Linked DNA regions of Anolis sagrei. The protein of the gene in region 3 purifies or fractionates together with the protein of the main gene of each other region. This does not show direct contact. Links are inferred from orthologs where the notes say so. Each region holds a gene or a part of one and is shown on either strand. Other genes may lie near its edges.

What was found.
Region 1: the proteins of LIN28A (region 3) and DKC1 purify together in Homo sapiens (affinity purification with mass spectrometry; 3 studies listed by BioGRID and IntAct, with this or other methods). This does not show direct contact. The link is inferred for Anolis sagrei from reciprocal best matches to the Homo sapiens genes LIN28A and DKC1.
Region 2: the proteins of LIN28A (region 3) and CDC5L purify together in Homo sapiens (affinity purification with mass spectrometry; 3 studies listed by BioGRID and IntAct, with this or other methods). This does not show direct contact. The link is inferred for Anolis sagrei from reciprocal best matches to the Homo sapiens genes LIN28A and CDC5L.
Region 4: the proteins of LIN28A (region 3) and TRIM71 purify together in Homo sapiens (affinity purification with mass spectrometry; 3 studies listed by BioGRID and IntAct, with this or other methods). This does not show direct contact. The link is inferred for Anolis sagrei from reciprocal best matches to the Homo sapiens genes LIN28A and TRIM71.

The regions. Positions count from the first base shown.
Region 1 is NC_090030.1:15,196,732-15,203,872, reverse strand, and holds the start of DKC1 (H/ACA ribonucleoprotein complex subunit DKC1), read right to left. Parts: upstream 3,025-7,141; 5' UTR 2,937-3,024; coding exon 2,918-2,936; intron 1-2,917. Other genes in the region: 40-kDa huntingtin-associated protein-like, read left to right, coding at 4,433-5,470.
Region 2 is NC_090021.1:147,842,990-147,850,192, reverse strand, and holds the start of CDC5L (cell division cycle 5-like protein), read right to left. Parts: upstream 3,005-7,203; 5' UTR 2,905-3,004; coding exon 2,860-2,904; intron 1-2,859.
Region 3 is NC_090034.1:73,558,713-73,566,273, reverse strand, and holds the start of LIN28A (protein lin-28 homolog A), read right to left. Parts: upstream 3,011-7,561; coding exon 2,980-3,010; intron 164-2,979; coding exon 1-163. UniProt on the Homo sapiens protein: RNA-binding protein that inhibits processing of pre-let-7 miRNAs and regulates translation of mRNAs that control developmental timing, pluripotency and metabolism.
Region 4 is NC_090026.1:81,420,152-81,426,988, forward strand, and holds the start of TRIM71 (E3 ubiquitin-protein ligase TRIM71), read left to right. Parts: upstream 1-3,822; 5' UTR 3,823-5,052; coding exon 5,053-6,114; intron 6,115-6,837.

The DNA.
Region 1 (7,141 bases), on a different chromosome or scaffold from region 3:
CGGGGGGAAAAACTGAGCTAAAGCTCCTGCTCTTACCACTTGCAACTGTCATTCAGCTTCTACAAGATCAGCAACATTGGTAGGAGCAGAAAATAAAAGCATGGAAAGCACAATGGGAGCCACCTTCTACCAGAGGGAATGGAATACATAGACTATCCACAAGGCAATGGCAGCAGCTGCTACAGACTAAAAACTTTGGGGGCTACTTTTTTCTCTGCTCTCTCTATATATATGCAACAATGCAGTTATTTAAATTGCAATATCATACTTGCATTGTTACAAGAACACTTTTTAATGCTGCAATACAATAATAATACATTTTTTGTTCCTGGGTTATAAATGTCATTTCCTGATTAGTTCTATCATAAAAACATGAAAAAGGTGTGTTATTATTATTATTATTTTGACGGAGATCCTGCAGATTATTTTGCTATAGGTTTTCAACTAATATCTTACATAGTCTCAACCAATTCCAGACAGTTTCTGGAGTAGAACAACTCTTTTCAAAGACCGCACAATTAAACTAGAAAGAACACTTTCAAATCAGGGGCAGATTTTTTTTTTCAAATTTTGTTACATAGTGTACTGTTAGCAGTTGCCGCCATCAATCTTCCATGTGCTTCAGGGCTTTGGCATGAAAGTGGAAAAGGGCGCAATACAATCCCGCTCAAAGCATTAGACGCAAACATGTGGAGGATAGTAGTTTGGCCATCCACAGATTCTGAACGCAGGGACAGATGTTTTGAAAAAATATGTTTTGAAAAGTCAAACTTTGGTTTTAGTGTTTTATAGATGAGACATGCCATTTACATAATGAAGCTTGAACATTTGAACCTATAGAATATTTATCCATCTATCTCTTTCAGACATGGGCCAACTTGGGCCTTCCAGGTATTTTGGTCTCCAACTCCCACTGTTAGGAATTGTGGGAGTTGAAGTCCAAAACACCAGGAGGGCCAAAGTTAGCCCTTGCCTGATATATAGCGTCTGTCTGTCTGTCTGTCTGTCTGTCTATCTATCTATCTATCTATCTATCTATCTTACTATCTATCTATCTATCTATCCATATCTGTCTATGATATATATCTCTATATCCCTACAGTCCTTCCCAAAACAGACTCTTAGGCTCTTACATCCAATCTATATAAATAAAAATGTCATGTTCGTTTGTGGGATTAACATAACTTAAAAAATCACTAGATGAATTGACACCAAATTTGCACACAAGACACCTCTCAGGCCAATTCTATTATTAGGAAAGAATACTAATAATAATACAAACATAAAAGAATAGTAATAACTAGATGTCCCCTGCCATGCGTTGCTGTGGCCCAGCCTGTGTAGATGTGTTTTGAGTGTGTATATATTTGTGTGTATGTGTATATATGTGTGTTTGCATATATATGTGTGGTTTTAAGCATTTGTTGTAATGTGTTTTTTGGCTTTTTAAGTCTCTTGTGTGTGTGTTTTTAGTGTTTTATGAGTGATGGTCACTCGTTGGCCTGAGAGGTGTATTGTGTCCAAATTTGATGCCAATTCATCGAGTGGTTTTTGAGTTATGTTAATCCCACAATCAAACATTACATTTTTATTTATATAGATGTACATGCAAAATGTGAATATGTGTGTTTGCATATATGTGCGTGTGTGGTTTTGCGCCTGCATTGTAGTTTTTGGCTTTAAAGCCTCTTCTGCTGTTTTTCAGTCTTTTTTTAGTGATGGCCACTCGTTGGCCTGAGAGGTGTCTTGTGTCCAAATTTGGTGTCAATTCATCCAGTGGTTTTTGAGTTATGTTAATCCCACAAACGAACATTACATTTTTTATTTATACTAGCCATCCCCTGCCACGCGTTGCTGTGGCAAACATGGGAGTTCTGTGTGGGAAATTTGGCCCAATTCTATCGTTGGTGGGATTTCAGAATGCTCTGTGTTTGTAGGTGAACTATAAATCCCAGTAACTATAACTCCCGAATGTCAAGATTCTATTTCCCCCAAACTCCACCAGTGTTCACATTTGGGCATATTGAGTATTCGTGTAGATTATTTGTGCCAAGTTTGGTCCAGATCCATCATTGTTTGTGTGCACAGTGCTCTCTGGATGTAGGTGAACTACAACTCCAAAACCAAAGGACACTGCTCACCAAACTCTATTTATTATTTATTTAAAAGTTTTGTATACCGGCCTTCTCACCTCTCTTGAGGGACTCAGACCTGTTTCCAACCATAATATCACATACAATCAATAAAACATCATAATACATATTACAGTAAAACATTAAAACAGCAATTACAATCAATAACTATAATGGTCAGTCGTGGCACTAAAAATACCCTTCCAGTATTTTCTGTTGGCCGTAGGAGTTCTGTGTGCCAAGATTGGTTCAATTCCATCACTGTTGGGGTTCAGAATGCTCTGTGATTGTAGGTGAACTATAAATCCCAGCAACTACAACTCCCAAATGACAAAATCAATTTCTTTGAATGAAGGACCTACATTGAGTTGTTCGGTGTCTTGTGTCCAACTTTGGTGTCAATTCGTCCAGTGGGTTTTGAGTTATATTAATCCCACAAATGAACATTACATTTTTATTTATATAGCTATTATTACTACTATTCTTTCTTCTCATCAAAAAGACCCAAAGTACCCAAGGCCTGGTTGCAACGCCTTCTTTGTATCTCCTCGCCCCATTGACTGAGGAGGAGAAAGCCTAAGCTGCTCCTCCCTTTGTGGCCCTGATAGGGAAGATGGCAAGGCTACCTCTGAGCATACATGGAGTGCTTCCCCTCCCTTTGTGGCCCTCACAGGGCTGCTTCTGAGCATGCTTCCTCTCAGACCCAGGGGGGAAGCGCCCTCCTCCAATTCAACAAAAGCCTCCTCCTGCCCTGACTCTTAAACTTTAAACAGCAAGGAACCCACCTGCGCCACCGTCCGCCATCTTGCCTCCGCCACGCGCTGCCTCTGGAGCACGCTACACCCGCGCGCTCACTCCGGCCGGAAAGGGACGCCACGCCCACTTCCGCTCCCGAGAGGCAACGCGGCACCAGGGCGGGCTGGAAACAAACTGGCCAGAGGGATCCACAACGCCCCTAGTGGCCACGCCGGAAATTGCACCCTCATTATTTATTTATCAGCAACCAGACATTTGTATTACAAGGTTCTTGTGGGTTTTTTCGGGCTATAGGGCCATGTTCTAGAGGCATTTCTCCTGACGTTTCGCCTGCATCTATGGCAAGCATCCTCAGAGGTAGTGAGGTCTGTTGGAAATAGGACAATGGGTTTATAGATCTGTGGAATGGCTGGGGTGGGGCAAGGAGCTCTTCCCTGCTGCAGTTAGGTGTGAATGTTTAGCTGATCACCTTCATTAGCATTTGAAGGCCTGCCTGAACCTGGGAAAATCTGTTGCTGGGAGGTGTTAATCTGTGCCTGGTTGTTTCCTCTCTGTTGTTTTGCTGTTATAATTTTAGAGTTTTTTAATACTGGTAGCCAGACTTTGTTCATTTTCATGGTCTCTTCCTTTCTGTTGAAATTGTCCACATGCTTGTGGATTTCAATGGCTTCTCTGTGTAGTCTGACATGGTGGTTGTTGGTGTGGTCCAGCATTTCTGTGTTCTCAAATAATATGCTGTGTCCAGGCTGGTTCATCAGGTGCTCTGCTATGGCTGACTTCTCTGGCTGAAGTAGTCTGCAGTGCCTTTCATGTTCCTTGATGCGTGTCTGGGCAATGCTGCGTTTGGTGGTCCCTATGTAGACTTGTCCACAGCTGCATGGTACACGGTAGACTCCTGCAGAAGTGAGAGGATCCCTCTTGTCCTTTGCTGAACGTAGCATTTGTTGGATTTTCTTGGTGGGTTTGTAGATAGTTTGTATGTTGTGTTTCCTCATCAGCTTCCCTATGCGGTCAGTGGTTCCCTTGATGTATGGCAGGAACACCTTTCCTCTTCGACAATACATTTGTATTACATTTTTAACAAAAACAAACAGACAGACAAAACATAGAATTTGCAAGCTTGGTAGTTGATTAAATGTCCAAAGGACATTTAACATAGTACCAAACTCAGAAGTGTTGTATTTTATCTGTTTTTTTGCTTTGTTCTGTTAGAAATGTAATATAATTGACTGGTTAATCTGACATGACAAATAAATATGGGGTGATTTGAATGCAATATTCCTGCTTCTTGGCAGAATGGGCTTGGACTGGATGGCCCATGAGGTCTCTTCCAACTCTAGGATTCTATGATTCAGCCTGTGCTAGGCCCTCCTCTTAGTCCAAGAGCTCCCTCTCATCACTATAGCAACACACTCTTAGCCACGCCCCCTTCTTAACATCCGAGTCCTCCAGTGCGAGAGCGTGTCGTCACATCCCGTCCGGACCGGAAGCGCGCCTCCAGTGTTGTTTTGGCATCCCTGAGGGAAGGAAGGGAGGAAGGGAGAATGCTGTCTGTTCCAGGCTCCGGCCCGCCTCCGGGCTTCGGTTCGGGGGAAGGCGGCAGCGGCGGGGCGGGCGGAGACTTCTTGTCCCGCTACCGGGCGGTGTCGGCCAAGCTTCGCCGCCGCTTCCTCCGCAAGCCCAACGTGTCTGAGGCGGCGGAGCAGTTCTGGGCCTTGGCTCGGGAGCTGCGCGCCCAGGAGAGCCTCCCCCACGCGGCCTGGTGCCAGCTGGCGGTGGCGCGCTGCTCGCAGAGCCTGGGCCACGCGCCGGGGGAGGCGGCGGCGCTGACGGAGGCGGCCCGGCTGTGGCTGCGGCACGAGCGGGAGCTGCGCCTCCGCCAAGGCGGGCCTGCCTCCGCCGCGCTGGGCCTGGCCGAGCACCACCTCCCGGCCGCCCAGAGCTGCCTCGCCTTCGCCGCCCGACTCCGCCTCGACCTCGGGCAGCCCGCCCTGGCCGCCGGGCTGTGGCTCGAGCTGGGCGAGGAGCTGCGCGGCGCCGGGGAGGCCGCCCAAGCCGTGGCCGCCTTCCTCCGCGCGGGGGAGCTCCTGGTCTTGGCCCAGCTGCCCCTGGAGGCGCTGCGGGCACACAGCCAGGCTGCCTCCTGCCTCCTCCTCTGCGGGGACCACGATGGCGCCCTCGCCCTGCTCACTAAGGCCCAAGGACAGGCCCAAGGCGCCTCTGCTGCTTCTCCTGCTTCCATTCAGCAACTCCCAGGCACCTTCTTGGACGAGCTGCTCCGCTGCGAAGTCACCCGCGTCCTCCTCCTGCTCTTGCTCCAGCCGCCGCCTTCCAAACTGCTCCCCGAACATGCCCAGACCCTGGAGAAGTACTCCTGGGAGGCTCTGGATGCCTCACCCAGCTACATCCCTGCCGAGCTCTACCTGCTGCTCCAGTCTACCGTCATGGCCTGCCAGGAGAAGGACCTGGAGGCCCTCAAGGCCCTGCAGAAGGAGCTCTGGCCGCTCCTCAGCCCTGAGCAGAACCACCTCCTCCATTTGGTCCTCCAGGAGATGATCCGGCCTTCAGGGCAGGGCTTCTAGGCCTGGATCTAGAACGATGGCTTCAGACTGCAGGGTGGGAATGCCTGAGCCCAAGAGCACACAGAACAGAGGCTGCAGCAGGTGGCATCCCCACATCCTAGGAAACACTAAGGCCCAAGGCGCCTCTGCTTCTCCTGCTTCCGTTCATCAACTCTCAAGGCCCTGCAGAAGGAGCTCTGGCCACTCCTCAGCCCTGAGCAGAACCACCTCCTCCATTTGGTCCTCCAGAAGATGATTCAGCCTTCAGGGCAGGGCTTCTAGGCCTGGATCTAGAACGATGGCTGCAGACTGCAGGGTGGGAATGCCTGAACCCAAGAGCACACAGAACAGTGGCTGCAGCAGGTGGCATTCCCACATCCTAGGAAACAGGTCCTCAAAGGGCCCACAGCCAGGCCGCCTCCTGCCTCCTCCTTTGCAGGGACCACGATGGCGCCCTGGCCCTGCTCACTAAGGCCCAAGGCGCCTCTGCTTCTCCTGCTTCGATTCATCAACTCCCAGGTGCCTTCTTGGATGAACTGCTCCGCTTCGAAGTCACCCGCGTCCTCCCCCTGCTCTTGCTCCAGCCGCCACCTTCCAAGCTGCTCCCCGAACATGCCCAGACCCTGGAGAAGTACTCCTGGGAGGCCCTGGACGCCTCGCCCAGCTACATTCCTGCCAAACTCTACCTGCTGCTCCGTTACACTGGCCCTCAAGGCCCTGCAGAAGGAGCTCTGGCCACTCCTCAGCCCTGAGCAGAACCACCTCCTCCATTTGGTCCTGCAGGAGATGATCCGGCCTTCAGGGCAGGGCTTCTAGACCTGGATCTAGAGCGATGGCTTCAGACTTCAGGGTTGGCATGTCTGAGCCCAAGAGCAGACTGAATACTGATCGTAGCAGGTGGCATCTCCACATCCTAGGAAACGGGTCCTCAAAGGGAGATGAGGAAAAGAATGAGCACTCACAGGGGATAATGGAAGTGTGAGCCCTCACACATCTGGACAGGGCTGGGCTGTGTGTTTCCACTGGAATAATAATAATAATAAAGTTTTATTTTAACCTGCCCTCTCTCCCTGAAGGGATTCAGGATGGCTTCCATAAACAAAAATGGCAAACATTCAATGTCGTGTACAGTATTGAAATGAAAACATTGAAACATACAATTAAAGCAGTTTAAACATCTTTGGCTAAAAGCATCTAAGTCAGTCAGCCAGGCCCCATAGATTGATTTATTTATTTACAGTATTTATATTCCGCCCTTCTCACCCTGAAGGGGACTCAGGGTGGATCACAGAACATGTATATGGCAAACGTTCAATGCCGATTATACAGTGACAAGACAGACAACAGACAGAGGTATTACATAGACTTTTCCCCATTTCTTCAGCATCTTTGGAGGCTGTGCTTGGTTCCTGCCACAAGGGGTGCTGTTTTTCCATCTTGCTGAAGAGCTTTTTGTGTTTGTAAACTTTTCTCTGAACACTGTGCCTAAAATACCTCCCCGGTTAATGTGGTTCCTATTTATCTACTCACATTGCTGTTTTCAATTTGTTAGATAGGCGGAGAGCTTGGCTGAAGGTCAGGAACTCACCCTGATCCAGCTTCAAACTGTCAGCCTTTCAGTTGGCAAGATTTACTGCAGCTGGTGATAAACTTGCTGTGCTAAAGCCAGTTTAATAGATAATACAATTAAAC
Region 2 (7,203 bases), on a different chromosome or scaffold from region 3:
TGTCTAATTGTAGTGTATAATTGTAATTGTTTGTATTGGCATTGAATTTTTGCCATTATTTATGTCTAAACCGCTTTGAGTCCCCCTCGGAATGAGAAAAGCGGTATACAAATACTGAAAATAAATAAATAATAAATTAAGTACTAATTAATTAAGAGTAACACAATTTTATTTATTTATTTAATTAATTTACTGGGTTTTTATACCGTCTTTCTCAGCCAAGGGCAAGTCAAGACGGTTCACAATCGGCAGCAACTCGATACCATAATAACAGGATATACAGTTAAAAACAATTATTTAAAAAGTTATAAAACAGTTCAACATTAAAAATATAAAAACCATAATATTTATAAAAATAAGTCCTCAACATCTCCTTACTGAAATCGTGATCCAATTGCATCATCAGACATTCCATGATACATTTTCATCTAATCATGCTCCAGTAGTAAAAGCCTGCTCGAACAGCCAGGTCTTAACCATTTTGCAGAATATTAGAAGGGAGCTGATCTTATATCTCTGGGGAGGACGTTCCATAGCCGAGGGGCTACCACTGAGAAGGTCATGTCTCTTGTCTCCGCCAAACACGTCTGTGATAAAGGCAGGATCAAGAGCAGGGCCTCCCCAGATGATCTTAAAGTCAACGTGCTTCAAACACATCTAAACCTCAAACCAAACATTTGCAGGTGTTTTACAGATCATATCATTAAACAATTCCTGTAGAAAATGGGACCTGTGGATTTCTCAAAGGTCTGTTATGTTTAGAGATTATTGTTAATGTTGCATTATTTTATTGTCCATGTTTTGTTTTATTTTAATTGCTTGTATTGTTATTATTGCTTGTATTGTTGTATTTGGGCTCGGCCTCATGTAAGCCGCACCAAGTCCCTTGGGGAGATGGTAGCGGGGTACAAATAAAGTGTTGTTATTATTATTTAGAGATGCTCTAAAGTTAAAAGTGAGAATAAGGTGACCAAATTTGCAGATAACACTCAAGATTCAATGCGGTCTCTATTTCCCCAAATCTATTTATATAATAAAAGTGTATGTATATGTATGTGGGTGGGTCTGTATGTTTGTGGCAAACTTCCAATTGGCTCCCACTTCCAGAGACCACTGCAATCCCACCAATGACAGATCTGGACCAAACTTGACACACAGAACTCTGGTGACCAACAGAACATACTGGAGGGATTTGGGGGGACTGACCCATCCAGGTGGGAGTTGTAGTTCACCTTGCATCCTGAAAGCACTCTGAATTGCACTGATGATGGATCTGGAACAAACTTGGCACACAGACCCAAAACAGCCAACTTTGAATACTGGCAAGGTTTGTGGCTTAATGACCTTGGAATCCGAGAATTATAGTTCACCCACATCCAGTGAAAACCATATCCAGATGGATGATGGATCTGGACCAAACTTGGCATGCAGACCCACCGTGGTCAATTCTGAACACTGGCGAGGGTTGGGGGTGATTGACCTATAATAATAAATAATAATAAAAATTTATTTATACCTTGCTACCATCTCCCCAAGGGACTCAGTGCGGCTTACATGAGGCCAAGCCATTACATCAATAAACAAAGGCAATAACAAAACAATCAATACAAAAACAGTTAATATAAATCTCATAAACAAAAAATAAACAACAACACACAAGCATTTAAAAACTTATGGCTGGGGCAAACGTAATAACTTAATTTTTAAAAAAATAATGCTATGATTTTTGGAACTGTAGTTCACCCATATCTTGATGCATTTTCTAAAAAAAGGAAAGACGGTCTTTTCTCCCAATAAATAGCGTTGCAAATGACCAAACTGATATTACCTCACAATCAAAAAAAAAAAAAAGCCTTTTTCCTGACTGCATTTCTGTATAAGAATTCACACGATCTCTTCATTCATCTGGTGAGGCCCTGCTCATGATCCCACCTGTTTCACAGGAGCGATTGGTGGGGAAGAGGGACGGGGCCTTCTCGGTGGTGGCCCCACGACTCTGGAACTCCCTCCCCAGGGACATCAGGCAGGCCCCAACATTGGCAGTCTTTAGAAGGAGCTTGAAAACGTGGATGTTCCAGTGTGCCTTCCCAGAATAAGGAATCCTAGCAATATGTCCTCAATGCACTTTATGAGAGATCCAGAACTGCCTGCACGTCCACCTTTCCAAAAACATTCCTCCTATCCCCTTTAAACTTCCCAGCTTTTAACTATTAAAACTTTCACATTTGGCCCTGCCTTATGTTTTAAAATGTGTTGTGTCATTATTGTATTGTTTTGCTTTTTTGAGTTATTTATCGTTTGCTGTTGTTGTTTTTTATGATGTTGTTGGGCTTGGCCTCTTGTAAGCCACACCGAGTCCTGCGGGAGATGGCAGCGGGGTATAAAAACAATAAATAATAATAATAATAAAATAATAACACGGGCATTGCTGAGTACCCAAACTAGCAGGAAATAAAGCTGCAAATGACAGAATCGTAAATTGGAAGAGACCCCAGGGGCCTTCTAATCCACCCTCATTCTGCCATGCAGGAGAAGCACAATCAAAGCAGCCCCGGCAGATGGCCATCCAGCCTGTTTCTATGCTTCCAAGACACTCAGACGCAGAGAGTTCCACTGCTGAACAGATATTACAGTCAAGAAGTTCTTCCTAATGCTGAGGAGGGACCCCCTTTTCTGTACTCCCCCCCCCTTGCAGCCTCAACTGGGTTTCTTTTGAGGAGGGTGAAGACTGAGGCTTATGAGGTGCCTCTGAAGGGTCTTGGCCTAGCGCGGCAAAGAGCCTGTTTTGGGCGCAGCCGTGTGAGAGAACCCTCCCCCGGGAGGAGAACGCCGTGGCGGGTTCGAGACTGCTTTCCCTACCTCGGTGTTGCGCCACACGCCCCCTTTGATCATAATCCGCGGCATCTTGGCGGCGAGAGAGGGCGAGAACGCAGCTGAGGCGACGGGCAAACGGCTGCGAGGCAAGAAGTCAGGCCTCAGGCTGCGCGCGCAGTCCCCTCCGTCACCGGAAGCCGACGGAAGAGAACGTTGCCGCGCGGGGAAGGGAGGGGGCGCCGTTTCCCCTGCGCATGCGCACTTGGATCTCCCTCCTTGTCCCCTTTCAAAGTGCTTTTGCTCGTCACAGAAGAAAGATTGTCTTTAATCCGGACTGTCCTTCTCGTGTTTCCCCTTCCACACAGCTCAATACAATCCCACATTTTCTGCTTTGAACAGTGGCAGTGTAGACTCAGCTAATCCAGTTCAAAGCAGATACTGTGGGATTTTATGCCTTGATATTCAGGGATATAGGGCAGTGTGGAAGGGCACCTTATGGTTAAGAATTTTTATTTATTTATCGTGTTAGGACCAGCCACTGTGTATCATGTTATGACCAGCCACCGCCAGAAGGGACAGAGTTTCATCTATGCTGATGATCGTGCCATTACTGCTCAAGCAGGGAGCTTTGAGATGGTTGAACAGAAGCTCTCTGAAGCTCTAGGTGCCCTTACCGCCTATTACAGGGAAAACCAGCTGATCCCTAACCCATCCAAAACACAGACATGTGCCTTTCATCTCAAGAACAGAGAAGCATCCCGAGCTCTGAAGATCACCTGGGAAGGAATCCCACTGGAGCATTGCAGCACACCCAAATACCTGGGAGTCACTCTGGACCGTGCTCTTACCTACAAGAAGCACTGCCTGGATATCAAGCAAAAAGTGGGCGCTAGAAACAATATCATACGAACGCTGACTGGCACAACCTGGGGATCACAACCAGATACAGTGAAGACATCTGCCCTTGTGCTATGCTACTCTGCTGCTGAGTATGCATGCCCAGTGTGGAACACATCTCACCACATTAAAACAGTGGATGTGGCTCTTAATGAGACATGCCGACATGCCGCATTATCGCGGCATTATCACAACTTAAATCTAGACATAGTTTTCTAAGATCTACAGAGACACTCGCTGGAACACCTCAGCAAGCGAGAGCTCGAAAGTGGCAGGCTCAAACCCAGAACCTCAACCAATGGATGTTACCAAATGAGAGACTCCCCCCCCCCCTGGGCACACAGAGGACTGGGTGACTTGGAAGGCGCTGAACAGACTGCGCTCTGGCACCACGAGATGCAGAGCCAACCTCAAGAAATGGGGCCACAAAATGGAATCCTCGACATGCGAGTGTGGAGAAGAGCAAATCACTGACCACCTGCTGCAATGCAACCTGAGCCCTGCTACAAGCACAATGGAGGAGCTTTTTGCAGCAACACCAGAGGCACTCCAAGTGGCCAGATACTGGTCAAAGGACATTTAATCAACTATCAAACTCGCAAATTTTGTATTTTGTCTGTTTGTTTGTTTGTTTTGTTCTGTTAGAAATGTAATACAATTGACTGGTTACCCTGACACGACAAATAAATAAATCGTGTTAGGAGCAGACCAAACAGCTGGATTGCATTTTTTAACAAACAGACAAACAAACAAAACACAAAGTTTGCAAACTTGATAGTTGATTAAATGTCCTTTGACCAGTATCTGGCCACTTGGAGTTCCTCTGGTGTTGCTGCAAGAAGGTCCTCCATGGTGCATGTAGCAGGGCTCAGGATGCATTGCAGCAGGTGGTCTGTGGTTTGCTCCTCTCCACACTCGCATGTCGTGGATTCCACTTTGTAGCCCCATTTCTTGAGGTTGGCTCTGCATCCCGTGGTGCCAGAGCGCAGTCTGTTCAGTGCCTTCCAAGTCGCCCAGGGGGGGAGTCTCTCATTTGGTATCAGCCACTGATTGAGGTTCTGGGTTTGAGCCTGCCACTTTTGGACTCCCGCTTGCTGAGGTGTTCCAGCAAGTGTGTCTGTAGATCTTAGAAAACTGTTTCTTGATTTAAGTCATTGACGTGCTGGCTGATATGCAAACGGGATGAGCTGGAGATGTCACTGCCTTGGTCCTTTCACTATTGTTTGCTACTTCCTGGCGGATGTCAGGATGTCAGGTGGTAAACAGTGTAATTTCTCCAGTGGTGTAGGGTTAAGATGCCACACTGCCACATCCCACACAAAGCAACTCACTCCCAAATGTGATGCTCCTCATGCCCTTTGGAGACCTGAAGTAATATTAAGAGTTTGGAAATATTAAACACAAGCCGTCCCCTGCCCCGCATTGCTGTGGCCTAGTCTGGTGATCTGGAAAATAAAGTAATGAGAAAGTGTTGGTTTCTAATATCTAATTTCTTTATGCTTGTGGGTAAACAGTATTTCTTGCTGTTTCTTTGTCAGTGTTGATGTGGAGATTGTCTGGTTTGCCTACTCTGGAATATGCAACATATCATTGTCCTTCTTTAGGGGTTCCTTTTAAATCTATGATACTATATCTGTGTGTGTGTGTGTGTGTGAATCATATCTATCTATCAATATCTATGGCTGGGTGGCACTTTGATTACGTTTTCTTGCCCTGGTGAAGGGAGTTGGACTGGATGGCCTTAAGTATTTTCTGTTGGTCATGGGGGTTCTGTGTAGGAAGTTTGCCCTAATTCTGTCATTGGTGGGGTTGAGAATGCTCTTTGATTGTAGGTGAACTATAAATCCCAGCAGCTACAACTCCCAAATGGCAAGGTTTATTTTCCCCAAACTCCATCTGCGTTCATATTTGGGCATATGGAATATTCATGCCAAGTTTGGTCCAGACCCATCATTGCTTGAGTCCACCGTTCTCTCTGGATGTTGGTGAACAACATCTCGCAAAGTCAAGGTCAGTGCCCACCAAACCCTTCTAGGGTTTTCTGTTGGTCATGGGAGTCCTGTGTGCCACGTTGGGTTAAATTCCATCATTGGTGGAGTTCAGAATGCTCTTTGATTGTAAGTGAACTATAAATCCCAGTAGCGACAACTCCCAAATGGCAATGTTAATTTCCCCCAAATTCCATCTGTGTTCATATTTGGGCATATGGAATATTCATGCCAAGTTTGGTCCAGATCCATCATTGTTTCAGTCCACAGTGCGCTCTGGATATTGGTGAACTACAACTCCCAAACTCAAGGTCAATGCCCACCAAACCCTTCTAGTGTTTTGTGTTGATCATGGGAGTCCTATGTACTATGTTCGGTTCAATTCCATCATTGGTGGAGTTCAGCATGCTCTTTGATTGTAGGTGAACTATAATTCCCAGCAACTACAACTCCCAAATGATAAAATCAATTTTTTGAGTGAAGGACATACATTGGGTTGTTAGGTGTCTTGTGTCCAAATTTGGTGCCAATTCCCCCAGTGGTTTTTGAGTTATGTTAATCCCACAAACGGACATTACATTTTTATTTATATAGATGAAGTCATCCTTTGAAAACTTCCCTAAGGGCTCTATATCCCAGAACATCAAGGCAGAAAATCCCACTTTATCCAAGTGTGAACTCAGATATCCCAATTTCAAAGCAGATATTGTGGAGTTTTCTGCTTTAATATTCTGGGATAAAGAGCTGTGTGGAAGTGAAGGGACATAGATGCAGGGACACTCCAAATGCACAAGCTTATGAGTCCACTCATTGGCCCAATGTAGCCATAAGTTGGATTCTTACTACAAAAGCTTTATTGCGGGCCTAGCAATATCGACAAAGAAGCATACAGGAATGCAATCAAAGGGTTTGTCGCAATTCCATTGGGACTGCAGGGTTTTTATCATTTTTGGCACGTACATTCTCATTGGTTCCCAAAGACAAATAATTTCATTGGTCTAAGATAGCTCGATGGTTCCTCATTGGTGGTTTATGATTTTGATTGACATAATAGCACACGTGGGATCCTAACAATGCCACAACTATAGAAGAACTATAGTCCATTGTTCTCTGACCATGACTGTCTTAATGAATCAATTTATCTGTTAGTCGGTTGCCAACATGACTCCAGAGCTACTGGGAAACTTGGGAGTTCTAACTAGCCACCAGCTAGTTGGAACGGATGTACTGTTATCCTTGAATAGTAACTTCTTCTCTGGAGCACTGATTTCTCAATCAGCATTTTTTGTAAACATAGGCATACTGCAGAAATAGGGCAATGTGGCAGTGAATGAGCATATGAGCATTGGAACATCTCTGAAAATTCCCTTTTAAAACTACGTCTCCTCCAGAAGGGCCCCCACATGATCTGTTTTGAACTGGAATAGATGACTTAGGGCCCTTCCACACAGACATAGAACCCAGGATATCAATGCAGAAAATCCCACAATATCTGGATTATTTA
Region 3 (7,561 bases):
TCGAGGGTGGCGCCTTCCTTGCTGGTCATGGAGAGGAATCCGAAGCCCATTCGCACGTTGAACCACTTGCAGATGCCGGCGCCGCGGAGGAGCGGCTGGCTGTCCTCTTCGGGGAGCGGAGAGTCCCCCCGGGGCCCCTCCTCACCCTCCTTGGCGCAGCCCCCTGCGGAGGAGCAAGGGAGGAGAGCCCCGTTGGAAGAGGGTCACGCCGGAGGGAGAAGAGGGAAAGAAGGAGAGGGAAAGAGGAAGAGTTGAAAGGAGAAGGAGAAAAATTAGAGGAAGAGGAAGGAGAATAAGAGGAAGAATAGGAAGAGGAAGGAGAAAAAGAAGAGGAAAGAGGAGAAAGAAGGTGAATAAGAGGAGGAAAAGAGGAGGAAGAGGAAGGAGAAGAGGAAAAGAGGAAGAGTTGAAAGGAGAAGGAGAAAAATTAGAGGAAGAGGAAGGAGAATAAGAGGAAGGATAAGATCGAGAAAAGGAGGAAAAGGAGAGGAAAGAGGAGAAAGAAGGTGAATAAATGGAGGAAAAGAGTAGGAAGAGGAAGGAGAAGAGGAAGGAAAATAAGTAGGAAGAATAATAAGGAGAAGACCAGGAAATAGAAGAATAAGAGAAGGAGTAAGAGGGAGAAGAGGAAGGAGAAAGGAAAGAAAAAGAAGGGGAGGAGGAGGAAAGGAAAATAAGAGAAAGAGGAAAAAGGAGGGAGAAGAGGAGGAGGAGAGGAGGAAGATGGAGAAGAAAAGGAAAGACGAGGAGAATAAGAGAAGGAAGAGGAGGGAGAGAAAGGGGAAGAAAAGGAAAAGGGGAAGGAGAAGAGGAGGAAGGAAGAAGGAGGAAAGAGGCGAAAGAAGAAGAGGGGGAAGAAGAGGAAGAGGGGGGAAAGGAGAACAAGAGGAGTAGGAAGAGGAGAAAGGAGAATAAGAGGAAGAGGGAAAAGATGAAGGAGAAGAGGAGAAAGGAAGGGAAGAAGAGGAAGGAGGTGAAAGAAGGAGAAGAGGGAGAAGAGGGGGAGGAAGGCGGGGAAAGAAGAATACAAGTGGAGAAGGAGGGGGAGAAAGGAGAATAAGAGGAAGAGGAAAAAGAGGAGGAAGACGAAGGAGAGGAGGAGGAAGAAGAGGAAAGATGGGAATAAGAGAAGAAGGAAGAGGAGGAAGATAAAGGAGAATAAGGGGAAGAGGAAAAAGAAGAAGGAGAAGAAGAAGAGGGGTAAGAAGAAGAAGGGAAAAAGGAGAAGAACAAGAGAAGGAGGAAGAGGAGAAAGAAGAATAAGAGGAAGAGGAAAAAGATGAAGAAGAAGAGGAGGAAGGAAGAAGAGGAAAGATAGGAATAAGAGAAGAAGGAAGAGGAGGAAGATAAAGGAGAATAAGGGGAAGAGGAAAAAGAAGAAGAGGAAGAAAAGGGGGAAGAAGAAGGAAAAGGGGAGAAGAACAAGAGAAGGAGGAAGATGAGGAAGGAGAATAAGAGGAAGAGGAGAAGAGGAAGGGGGAAGGAGAAAAACAAGAGAAGGAGGAATAGGAGAAAGGAGAATAAGAGAAAGAGGAAAAAGATGAAGGAGAAGAGGAAGGAAGAAGATGAAAGATGGGAATAAGAGGAGGAAGATAAAGGAGAATAAGGGGAAGAGGAAAAAGAAGAAGGGGGAAGAAGAAGGGAAAAGGAAGAAGAACAAGAGAAGGAGGAAGATGAGGAAGAAGGAGGAAAAAGGTGAAAGAGGGAGAACAGGAAGACGGGGAAGGAGAAAAACAAGAGGAGGAGGAAGAGGAGAAAGGAGAATAAGAGGAAGAGAAAAAAGAGAAAAGGAAGGAGAAGAGGGAGAAGTGGATGAAGGAGAAGATGAAAGATGGGAATAAGAGAAGAAGGAAGAGGAGGAAGATAAAGGAGAATAAGGGGAAGAGGAAAAAGAAGAAGAGGGGGAAGAAGAAGGTAAAAAGGAGAAGAACAAGAGGAGGAAGAGGAGGAAGGAGAATATGCGGAAGAGGAAGGAGGAGGAAAAGGTGAAAGAAGGAGAAGAGGAAGACGGGGCAGGAGAAAAACAAGAGGAGGAGGAAGAGGAGAAAGGAGAATAAGAGGAAGAGAAAAAAAGAGGAAGGAGAAGAGGGAGAAGTGGAGGAAGGAGAAGATGAAAGATGGGAATAAGAGAAGAAGGAAGAGGAGGAAGATAAAGGAGAATAAGAGGAAGAGAAAAAGGGGAAGAGGAAGGAGAAGAGGGAGAAGTGGAGGAAGGAGAAGATGAAAGATGGGAATAAGAGAAGAAGGAAGAGGAGGAAGATAAAGGAGAATAAGTGGAAAAGGAAGAAGAAGGTAAAAAGGAGAAGAACAAGAGGAGGAAGAAGAGGAGGATGGAGAGTAAGCGGAAAAGGAAGGAGAGGAAGGAGAAGAAGAGGAGGAAGAGGTTGAAGGGCGCTTGGACCCCGAGACCCAGCCAAGTGGGGGTTCTCCTCCTCCTCACCCGCCTGGGACAGAAGAAGCCCGTGCCAAGCTCCGCTCGGAAGGAATGGGTTCAAAGAGTGGGGATTCCCTTCTCCAGAAAGACGAGAACTCCTTCCCAAAGGATTCCCACGAGAGCCCTCAAAATGGGGAAACGGGGGCACCCCTCCTTTGTGGGAGAAGGAAACCCACCCACACAAAATACAGGGATGCTCGAAGGTCGGGGTCGGGGAAGAGGATGCCTTTTGCCTTTCATCTCTCCTCTTTTCCTTTCGTTTGTGTTCCGTTGAGGAAGATTCCCAAAGCTCCGTCGAAGAAGGAGAAAGAGGAGGAGGAGGAGGAAGGCAAAAGCACATGGTCTGCCTTGCAACCAAGTAGCCCGGCCGCCCTCTTCCCTCGTTCCCAAAAAGAAGAAGGGAAAAGGGGGCCAAGAGTCGGAGAAACCCAAACTCAGGGTGGGTTTCCTTCCTGGAGGAGAGGAAAGGGATGGGAGCGAAGGGAAGGCAAAGAAGGGAAGAAGGAAAAGAGCAGGATCCCCAGAGGCAAAAACGTTCACTTAACCTGCAAACTGTTGGTTGGAGACCGAGCCCATCCTGCCGACCCGGTGGAAATGGTGGAGTCGGGAGGACGCAGCCTCTTCCTCCTCCTCCTCCTCCTCCTCCTCTTCTCTGCCCACAGCCAGCCTGGGAATAGAGAAGGGGGGAGAGAAAAAGAGAGAGGGAGGGAGGGAGGAGGAAAGGGAAGGCGCAAGAAGGCGGTGGGAGATTCAAACCCAAAGGAAAGAGGAGGAGGAGCAGGTCGGGCGCATCTTCAATCCACAATAGCGGTGGGAGGGCCTTGGGGGGTGGGTAGGGGTGGGGGCTGCCCAAATTTTGGAGAGACAATAGTCAAGCCCTCCCTCCTCCCCTTGGCTTCTCCCTCCTCCTTTTGGGCCTCCTCTTTCAACCTACAAACACACACATCTCGCCCTATTAGAGGCGATAAGATGGGAGAGAAGATGGGAGAGAAGGGCTGGAGCTTGGGATTGAATTGTACCCTCCTTTTCCTTTCTGGTGGAAGGCAACTTCTTGCCCCTTGTGGCTCCTTTCTGCCACCCTCGTGTTGACGTCTGTCTGTTTCGACTCACAGAACCCTTGAGTAAGGAGGAGACCTCCAAAGGCCACCCAGTCCAACCCCTTTCTGCCAGGCAGGAGAAGCACAATTAAAGCACCCCCGACAGATGGTCACCGATGCTTCAAAACCTCCAAAGAAGGGAGATGTGTCCACACAGAACTTCATCCATGGAGGGAGATGTACTTGTCGAGTGGAAAACTACATACATACATACTAATAAACACATACACACACACATATATATACTAGCCGTCCCCTGCTACGCATTGCTGTGGCCTACAGCAATATTCAATATGCTCAAATGTGAACACTGGTGGAGTTTGGGGATAATAGAAACTTGATATTTGGGAGTTGTAGTTGCTGGGATTTATAGTTCACCTGCAATCAAAGAGCATTCTGAACCCCACCAAGGATGGAATTGAACCAAACTTGGCACACAGTTCTCCCATGACCAACAGAAAATACTGGAAGGGTTTGGTGGGCAGTGTCCTTTGGTTTTGGAGTTGTAGTTCACCTACATCCTGAGAACACTGTGGACTCAAACAATGATGGATGTGGACCAAACTCTGTGTAGGAAGTTTGGCCCATTTCTATCATTGGTGGGGTTCAGAATGCTCTGTGATTGTAGGTGAACTATAAATCCCAGCAACTACAACTCCCAAATATCAAGATTCTATTTTCCCCAAACTCCACCAGTTTTCACATTTGAGCATATTGGGTATTTGTGTAGAGTTTGGTCCACATCCATCATTGTTTGAGTCCACAGTGTTCTCAGGATGTAGGTGAACTACAACTCCAAAACCAAAGGACACTGCCCACCAAACCCTTCCACTATTTTCTGTTGGTCATGGGAGAACTGTGTGCCAAGTTTGGTTCAATTCCATCCTTGGTGGGATTCAGAATGCTCTTTGATTGCAGGTGAACTATAAATCCCAAATGACAAAATCAAAATTTTTTGAGTGAAAGGTTGTTGGGTGTATTGTGTCCAAATTTGGTGCCAATTCATCCAGGGGTTTTTGAGTTCTGTGAATACCACAAAAGAACATTACATTTTTATTTATAGAGATAATATTATCTAATAATTATTATATAATGTATAATAACAATATATAATTATATATAATATTATATAGATAGATATTCCCTCTCTCTCGCTCTATCTATATATATGTGTGTGTATATATATATAATATTATCTAATAATTATTATATAATGTATAATAATAATAATAATAATAATAATAATAATAATAGTAATAATAATAATAGTAATAGTGGCAGGGGGTTGGACTGGATGGCCCATGAGGTCTCTTCAAACTCTTTGATTCTATGATTCTATGATTCTATGATTAATCTATATACATAAAAATGTAATGTTTGTTTGTGGGATTAACAGAATTCAAAAACCACTGGGCAAATTGACACCAAATTTGGACACAAAGCACCTAACAACCCAATGTATGTCCTTCACTCAAACAAAATGATTTTGTCCTTTGGGAGTTGTAGTTGCTGGGATTTATAGTTCACCTACAATCAAAGAGCATTCTGAACCCCACCAACGATAGAATTGAACCAAACTTGGCACACAGTTCTCCCATGACCAACAGAAAATACTGGAAGGGTTTGGTGGGCAGTGTCCTTTGGTTTTGGAGTTGTAGTTCACCTGCATCCAGAGATCACTGTGAACTCAAACAATGATGGATCTGGACCAAACTCTACACGAATACTCAATATGCCCAAATGTAAACACAGATGGAGTTTGGGGAAAATAGAATCTTGACTGGGATTTGTAGTTCACCTACAATCACAGACCATTCTGAACCCCACCAATGATAGAATTGGGCCAAGCCTCCCACTCAGAACCCTCATGACCACCAGAGTGGGCCACCGCAATGCGTGGCAGGGGATGGTTAGTAATATATATATAAGTATATATTATATTATATTATATTATATTATATTATATTATATTATATATATTAATTATTATAATATATAATATATATAATTATATATAATATTATATAGATATTCCCTCTATATATACATACAAATAGATATATACATTATCTGTATATTATATATATAATATATATAATATTATCTAATTATATAGATAGATATTCCCTCTATATATATACATACATACATACATATATATATATATATATATATATATATATATATAATTATAATTATAATTATAATTATAATTATAATTATATAATATTTTATAGATAGGTAGATAAATATTCTATCTCTCTCTCTCTTTCTCTATCTCTCTCTCTATATATATATATATATTTGCCCAAGCCTGTTCTAAACATATCCAAACCGGGATTCTTTGGGAGGGGAGGGGTTATGGAGGTAAATACCTTTGCAAAACATTGCATTTCTTGCCTTTTTCTTTAAGGCGATCTGGCCCTAAGGCGAATGTAAAGCAAACACATGTTTTTGTCCGTGTGGTAGTTTAGCGTGCATCTAACCAAACGAATGCAGTTTGGTAGTGTATATATAATGTTATAATATGCTATATATAAAATATCATATACATTATGCATGTATTGTAATATCTATTATACAAAATGTATATGACATTATATTTTTATATATATATATGCAATGTGATATCATATATAATATTGTATAATAATAATAATTGCATCATTATATATAATATATAATATTATAAGATAATGTTGTATATTATATTATTAATGTGTGTGTCTGTGTGTGTGTATATATATATATATATATGTATGTATGTATTGTCGAAGGCTTTCATGGCCGGAATCACTGGGTTGTTGTAGGTTTTTTCGGGCTGTATGGCCATGGTCTAGAGGCATTCTCTCCTGAATGCAGGCGAAACGTCAGGAGAGAATGCCTCTAGACCATGGCCATTCAGCCTGAAAAAACCTGCAACAGCCTATATATATATGGTTTGAAAAAAGCATGTCACTCCTAAATTGTGTATATATATATATATATATATATATATATAGTTTGAACAGAGCATGTCACTCCTACATTATATATATGTGTGTGTGTGTGTGTGTTGTAGGTTTTTCGGGCTATATGGCCATGTTGTAGAAGCATTCTCTCCTGACGTTTCGCCTGCATCTATAGCAGGCATCCTCAGAGGTTGTGAGTTCTATATATGGTTTGAACAGAGCACGTCACTCCTAAATTATACACACACACACACACATACATATATATAATGTAGGAGTGACGTGCTCTGTTCAAACCATATATAGAACTCACAACCTCTGAGGATGCCTGCTATAGATGCAGGCGAAACGTCAGGAGAGAATGCTTCTACAACATGGCCATATAGCCCGAAAAACCTACAACAACCCATATATAGATAGATAATATTATGATATAATATATATACATACATTAATAATATAATATACAATATGATATTATAATATACAATATAATATATATATAATATAATAATATAATATACAATATTATATATCATATCACATATATGCATCACATATATATATATAAATATATATATGTAAGATTATATGTATGATATAATATGTATACATATTATATGATAAAATTATATATTATATTACATATAATGCAATATATATACACATGCTTGTGTATTGAGATATATATAATATACTAGTGTATAGAGATGGCCATCTGTCGGGGGTGCTTTGAATGCGATTTTCCTGCTTCTTGGCAGGGGGTTGGACTGGATGACCCATGAGGTTTCTTCCAACTCAGTGATTCTATATACCTGCATATAATAAAGTTGAGTCATCTGATCAGTGCATAGAACTGTATTCTATGGCTCCACACTGTCTGTGTAATGCAGTTTCAAACCGCATTATATGGCAGTATAGATTCGGAGGATTAACAGTTGAAATCCGGATTATTCATTTAAAAGGGAAAGGGTTCCTTTTAATGGCAATTTTTCCCATGTGGCCAAAAAACAACACTGAACCCGGGCTCATTTAGAAGTGTAACTATTGAAGAAAGCAAAAAAAAGTGTCAATATGAT
Region 4 (6,837 bases), on a different chromosome or scaffold from region 3:
GGGCAACTGAAATAACACTTCTGAAACACTGCAATATGTTTTTGTGCATTGGCATATCTTTGTCCCTAACAGTTCAAAGAGGTATCTAGGTATATCAGTGTGACAGCTGAGAAACCTAAGTTGCTTTGCATGAATACTACTGGATCTTTGCCACTAAGGAGAAGGTTGAGTTAAGCTAGTTTTAACTCTTTTAACTGGAGCCCGCAGTGGCACAGTGGGTTAGACCACTGAGCTGCTAAACTTGTTGACCAAAAGGTCGCAGGTTCGAATCAGGGGAGTGGGGTAAGCTTCCACTGTTAGCTCCAGCTTCTGCCAACCTAGTAGTTTGAAAACATGCAAATGTGAGTAGATCAATAGGTACCACTGTGACGGGAAGGTAACGGCGCTCCATGCAGTCATGCTGGCCACATGACCTTCGAGGTATCTACAGACAATGCTAGCTCTTCAGCTTAGAAATGGAGATGAACACCGCACCCGAGTTGGATACGACTGGACTTAATGTCAGAGGAAAAAAATTACTTTTACCTAACTTTTCTGTGTGCGACTTGGAATGCACTGAACAGACTGTGTTCTGGCACTACGAGATGCAGAGCTAATCTTAAGAAATGGGGCTACAAAGTGGAATCCACGACATGCGAGTGTGGAGAAGAGCATACCACTGACCACCTGCTGCAATGCAACCTGAGCCCTGCTACATGCACAATGGAGGACCTCCTTGCGGCAACACCAGAGGCACTCCAAGTGGCCAGATACTGGTCAAAGGACATTTAATCAACTACCAAGCTTGCAAACTTTGTGTTTTGTTCTGTTAGAAATGTAATTGTCTGGTTGCCCCTGACATGATAAATAAATAAACCTAACTCTTCTTAGGAAGATTATAGTTTACAAACAACAAGGGCATGCCTTTCCAAAAGGTTCTGAATATCCATTTTCCAAAATAATTACTTGTAGTAAAGGAAAATTGCAATAAATATTTTCTCTTTCCCACATCCAAATACTTTTAAAATAATTGCCTCTTACTCTTGATTGGATGGTTCTTTCTCCCATTCAGCAAATATGTGTATATGAAATTATATAGCCAGTAGCCACACTTCCATTTGTAATGAACAGTGTCCAAATGTGAATTTTGAAAACACACACATACACACACAGAAATTCAGCATTGTGTTGTCAAAGGCTTTCATGGCTGGAATCACTAGGTTGCTGAGAGTTTTCTGGGCTGTATGGTCATGTTGCAGAAGCATTCTCTCCTGATGTTTCACCTGCATCTGTGGCAGGCATCCTCAGAGGTTGTGAGGTTTGTTGGATACTAAAAATGGGAAAAGTTTATCAAACTGCACAAAGTGTTCTTGAAGGCTTTCATGGTAAGAATCACTGGGTTGCTGTGAGTTTTCTGGGCTATATGGCCATGTTCCAGAAGCATTCTCTCCTGAAGTTTCACCCACATCTATGGCAGGCATCCTCAGAATTGAGGGGTCTTTTGGAAACTAAGTTAGTGAGTTTTATATATCTGTGGAATGTCCAGGGTGAAAGAAAGAACTCTTGTCTGTTTGAGGCAAGTGTGAATGCTGCAATTGGCCACCTCTATTTGCATTGAAAAGCTATGAAAAGGAAACCATAAAAATGAACAAAATCTGGCGACCAGTATTTAAAAATACTCCAACATCAGAGCAGTAAAGCAAGAAAGTCTGTTCTTGCTTTATTTATTTACTTATTTACTTCATTTATATACCGCTTTTCTCAGCCCTCAGGCGACTCAAAGCGGTTACTTTACTGCGTACCTGTGCAGATGTATCTCCTTCTAAGCAAGTGTGGATGTTGCAATTAATCTTTCTCCCACCCTGGACCTTTAACAGACAGATAAACCTCCCTTGCCTAATTTCCGACAGCCCTCACAACCTCTGAGGATGCCTGCCATAGATGTGGGTGAAACTTCAGGAGAGAATGTTTCTGGGACATGGCTATAAAACCCTATACGGTTCTGGCCCTGTCAGAACGTATCTCCTTCTACATCCCACCTTGGAGTTTAAGATCTTCTGGGGAGGCCCTGCTCTCGGTCTGCCTCTGTCGCAAACGAGCTTGGTGGGGAGGAAGGACAGGGCCTTCTTGGTGGTGGCCCCCTGTCTGCAGAATTAGATTATCAAAATTCCTCCTTTCCTTTAGAAAAAAGTTAAAAACATGGATGTGGGACCAGGCTTTTGGGTAATATTGCTGACAATGATGACAATCGCTATGGAAATAGACTATGGACAAACTACAGAGAAAGCCACCAGGCTGTTATGGAAACACATTTTAATTAATTAATGTGATTTAATGTTTTAAATGTATGTAATTATTTGATTTTATTATGTATTTTATTATAATTGTTGCCAGCTGGAAGCTGCCCTGAGTCCCCCCCCCCTTCCGGGGGGTTGAGAAAGGCGAGGTACAAATATAAATAAAATAAATAAACAGTCCGGAAAACTCACAGCAACCCAAATTCAGCATTCACCCATATTGTGACTCTGGGATAAAAGAAAAAGAGGGAAAGCGAGGGGATTTCCTCCTAAGGAGAGAGAGCCCTTGGTCACAAAGTGTGGGAAAGAGGGTGCTTTGGCTGAGGGGGAAGTCCACTAACGAAATTCGTTTTAAGCCGGAACGAAACCGGGTTACGAAACGTGGTGTGGACGGGACTTCCCTATGAGACGCCTTCCCCATTTGGGAATACGCACAATAGGAAGACCTTGGACCTAAGAGGAGGGTGGAAGTTTCCTGTTGGCTTTCCCAGCCTCCCCTTTCCTTCCTTCCTCTCTTTCCCTCCCTTTCCTTGAGCTCCGGCGGAAGTGGGTCCGCTCCTTCGGAGATTCAAAGGATTCCGTGCTTGGGATCAGTTTCACGCGAGGCATTCTGGCCCAAAAGCGGGCGAGAGAAAGGCACGGGGGGGGGGGGGGGAGAAAGGGAAGGAGATCCTCCGCTGGATCCACAAGAGGGAAGGAGAAAAGGGGGAGGAAGGAAAGAAGGGGCAACAGAAGGAGCAAAGAAATAAAAAGCCTGAAGGGAGTGGAGGAGGCTAATGGCGCAAATACCACGCACCTTTCCTCCCTTGTGGATTTTTGATCCGACCTTTTTGTTTCCAAAACGTGAAGGGAGGGTTTGAAACCAAACTCCCGCCACCACGCGAGGAAAAGGGATCTGACAAAGGAAACGCGATCCTGAGGCCGGGACCGGTTTCGCAAACACGCACTCCCCCCACTTCTTTTCCCTTCCCCCGCTTTCCGCGTCCTCCATGAATAAGAATTATTCTCCTTCAAGGCAGGAGGCTTGTCTCTTGGAAGGAGGAAGAGGAAGCGCGTGGGGTCCAAAAGGAGGAAGAAGAGAAGGCCTCGTCAGTGCCAAAGCGGGAATGGCGTGGGGTGGCGGAAGAGCAGTGGTAGCGTAAGGTCACGCTGCTCGTCTGTCCATTCATTCATTCATTCATCCACCCACCCGGCGGCTTTGGTGGGTTTTCGGGCTGCCTGGCCATGTTTTGAAGCATGATCCCGGCCAGGAAAGCCTTCGACAATACAAAGAAGCTGCTGCCGGCTGCCGTGTTCGCTCCCTGCTTCAGCCATGCGGGGCTGGAAAGAGCCCTAGCCTGAGGTCACGCTGCTCGCCTTATCCATTCATTCATTCATTGCCTTTGGAAGGAAAGAAGCTGCTGCCGGCTCCCTTCTTTGCTCCTTTTCTCGGCCATGCGGGGCCGGAAGGGGATTGGAGTCCCGCCCGAGCCCTCCTCCCACCCGAGCCTCGTGCAGGGAGCCCCGAAGAGCGAGGAGTGAAGGCAACGACCCCCCGCCCCCGGACGAAGACAAGGCGACAGACCTGATGGACTGTTCCTCCCGGAAGGAGGAGGAAGGGCTTGAAAGAGAGAGGCCTCCAAGGCGGCCACTGCGAGAGCGCCCCAAGAAGCTAAAGGAGGGAGAGAGGAGGGGGTGGGGGTCTTTCTTGATGCCACTCCGGGGGGTCTGCAAAGCGGGGTTTCCTTGCTAGTCTCAAGGAACAGCTCGAAAGAGATACAGAAGGCGGCAACTGCGGGAGCGCCACAAGCAGGAGGAAGAGAGGAGGAGAAGGGGGAGGGGGTCTTGTGAGGGGTCTGCAAGCAAGGAACAGCCTGAGAGAGAGATACAGAAGGCGGCAACTGCAAGAGCCCCCCAAGGAGGAAGAGAGGAGGGGGGTGGGAGTCTTCTGAGGGGTCTGCAAGCAAGGAACAGCTTGAGAGAGAGATCCAATTGCAAGAGCGCCCCAAGAAGCTGAAGGAGGAAGAGAGGAGGAGGGGGTGGGGGTCTTCTGGATGCTACTCCGGGGGGTATGCAAAGCGGGGTTACCTTATTAGCGTGAAAGAGACACAGAAGGAGGCAACTGCGAGAGCGCCCCAAGAAGCTGAAGGAGAGAGGAAGGGGGGTCTGCAAAGCGGGGCTTCCTCACTAGTCTCAAGGAACAGCCTGAAAGAAAGACACAGAAAGAGGCAACCGTGAGAGCGCCCCAAAAAGTTGAAGGAAGAAGAGAGAAAAGCGGCAATTGCAACAGCGCCCCAAGAAGCTGAAGGAGGAAGAGAGGGGGGGGGGGTCCCTTTGATGGCACACCGAGGGGTCTGCAAAGCGGAGCTTCCTCGCTAGCCTCAAGGAACAGCTTGAGAAAGAGATCCAGAAAGCGGCAAGTGCGAGAGAGCCCCAAGAAGCTGAAGGAGGAAGAGAGGAGAGAGTGAGGGTCTTCTGGATGGTAGTCCGAGGGGTCTGCAAAGCGGGGTTTCCTCGCTTGCCTCAAGGAACAGCCTGAAAGAGATACAGAAGGCAGCAATAGCGGGAGTGCCCCAAGAAGCCGAAGGAGAGGAGGGGGAGGGGGTGGGCTCCTTTGATGGCACACCCAGGGGTCTGCAAAACGGGGCTTCCTCGCTCGCCTCAAGGAACAGCTTGAGAGAGATAGAAAGCGGCAATTGCGAGAGCGCCCCAAGAAGCTGAAGGAGGAAGAGGTGGGGATCTTAATGCCACTCCGAGAGGGGTCTAGCTAGCCTCCCCTCCCCTTTCCCCCTCCCCCATGGCTTCCTTCCCGGAGCCGCACTTCCAGATCTGCCCGCTGTGCAAGGAGATGTGCGGCTCGCCGGCGCCGGCCTCCTGCAACAACTCCTCGTCGTCGTCCTCCTCCTCCTCGTCGCAGACCTCCGGAGGAGGAGGAGGAAGTGGCAACCCTGTTGGTGGTGGGCCCGGCGCGAGCTGCCCTTCCTCCTCCTCTTCCTCGTCCTCGCGGCGGCGCCTGCTGGTTCTGCCTTGCTTGCACGCCTTCTGCCGGCAGTGCCTCGAGGCCCAGCGCCAGCCCCCGCCCTCCTCCTCCTCTTCCTCGTCTTCCTCCTCCTCCTCCTCGTCTTCTTCCTCCTCCTCCTCCTCTTCCTCGGGGGACGCCCCTCTCCAGCTGCGGTGCCCCCTCTGCGACCAGAAGGTGGTGATCTCGGAGCCGTCGGGCATGGACGCCCTGCCCTCCTCCAACTTCCTCCTCAGCAACCTGCTCGACGTCGTGGTCGCCGCCGCCAACAACGCCAACAACGCCAGCGAGGAGCAGAACAACGGCAGGCCCAGCGGACCCGGGGGAGGGCCCGGAGGGGGGCCCGGAGGAGGAGGAGGGGGGAACAGCACCAACAACAGCAGCAGCAGCGCCAACAACAACCGGCACCACCAACACTCCCGGCAACAGCAGCAGCAGCGCCCGCCTTCTTCTTCCTCCTCCTCCGCCAGCGCAGGGGCTTCATCCCCGGGCTCGTCGTCGCTGCTGCTGCTCCGGAGGCCGCACAGCCGCCAAGGCGGGGATCCCCGGTGCAGCTCCTGCGACGAAGGCAACGCCGCCAGCGCCCGCTGCCTCGACTGCCAGGAGCACCTCTGCGACAACTGCGTGCGCGCCCACCAGCGCGTCCGCCTCACCAAGGACCACTTCATCGAGCGCTTCGGGCCCGGCGCCGCCCCGCAGAGCCAGAGCCTCGTCGCCGCCGCCGCCTCCTCCTCGTCCTCCTCCTCCGTGGGGCCCGCCTCGGCCCTCGGCTCGCCCTACAGCATCCTCGCCGCCGCCTTCCCGGACCGGGCCAGCTACTGCCAGCAGCACGACGACGAGGTAAGAGAGAAAGAGAGAGAGAGACCCCACTTTGCCCCCTCCCTCAACGCGCCTCAGGCTGCGAAGGCCTCTCCTCAGCATTACTATTGTTGTGAAGCGCGTGGGGGCAAAGTGTTCGCCTTCGAAGCTTGCCTCACTTATGGCGACCCTGAGGCCAACTTAGGGTCCACCCGAAGGCCTCCTCATAGGCTTGTGGAGAGGCGTGTCACGACACTTATTGTTCTGTGTTGTGGTATATATGAGGTATGGGCCAAGTTGGGTCCTCCAGGTGTTTTGGACTTCAACTCCCACCATTCCCAACAGCCTCAGACTCTTTCCTTTTCCCCCTCAGCCGCTTCAGCTTTGGACTTCAACTCCTATCATTCCCAACAGCCTCACCCCTCTTCCTTTTGCCCCTCATGCCCTTAAACATTGGACTTCAACTCCTACCATTCCCAACAGCCTCAGACCTCTACCTTCCCCCCCCCCCCCGCCACTTAAACGTTGGACTTCAACTCCCAACCTTCCCAACAGCCTCAGATCCTTTCCTTTGCCTCCTCAGCCGCTTCAGCATTGGACTTCAATTCCCACCATTCCCAACAGCCTCAGACCTTTTCCTTTCCCCCCTCAGCCGCTTAAATGTTGAACTTCAACTCCCACCATTCCCAACAGCCTCAGGCCCTTTGCTTTTCCTCCTCAGCTGCTTCAGCATTGGACTTTAATTCCCACCATTCCCAACAGCCT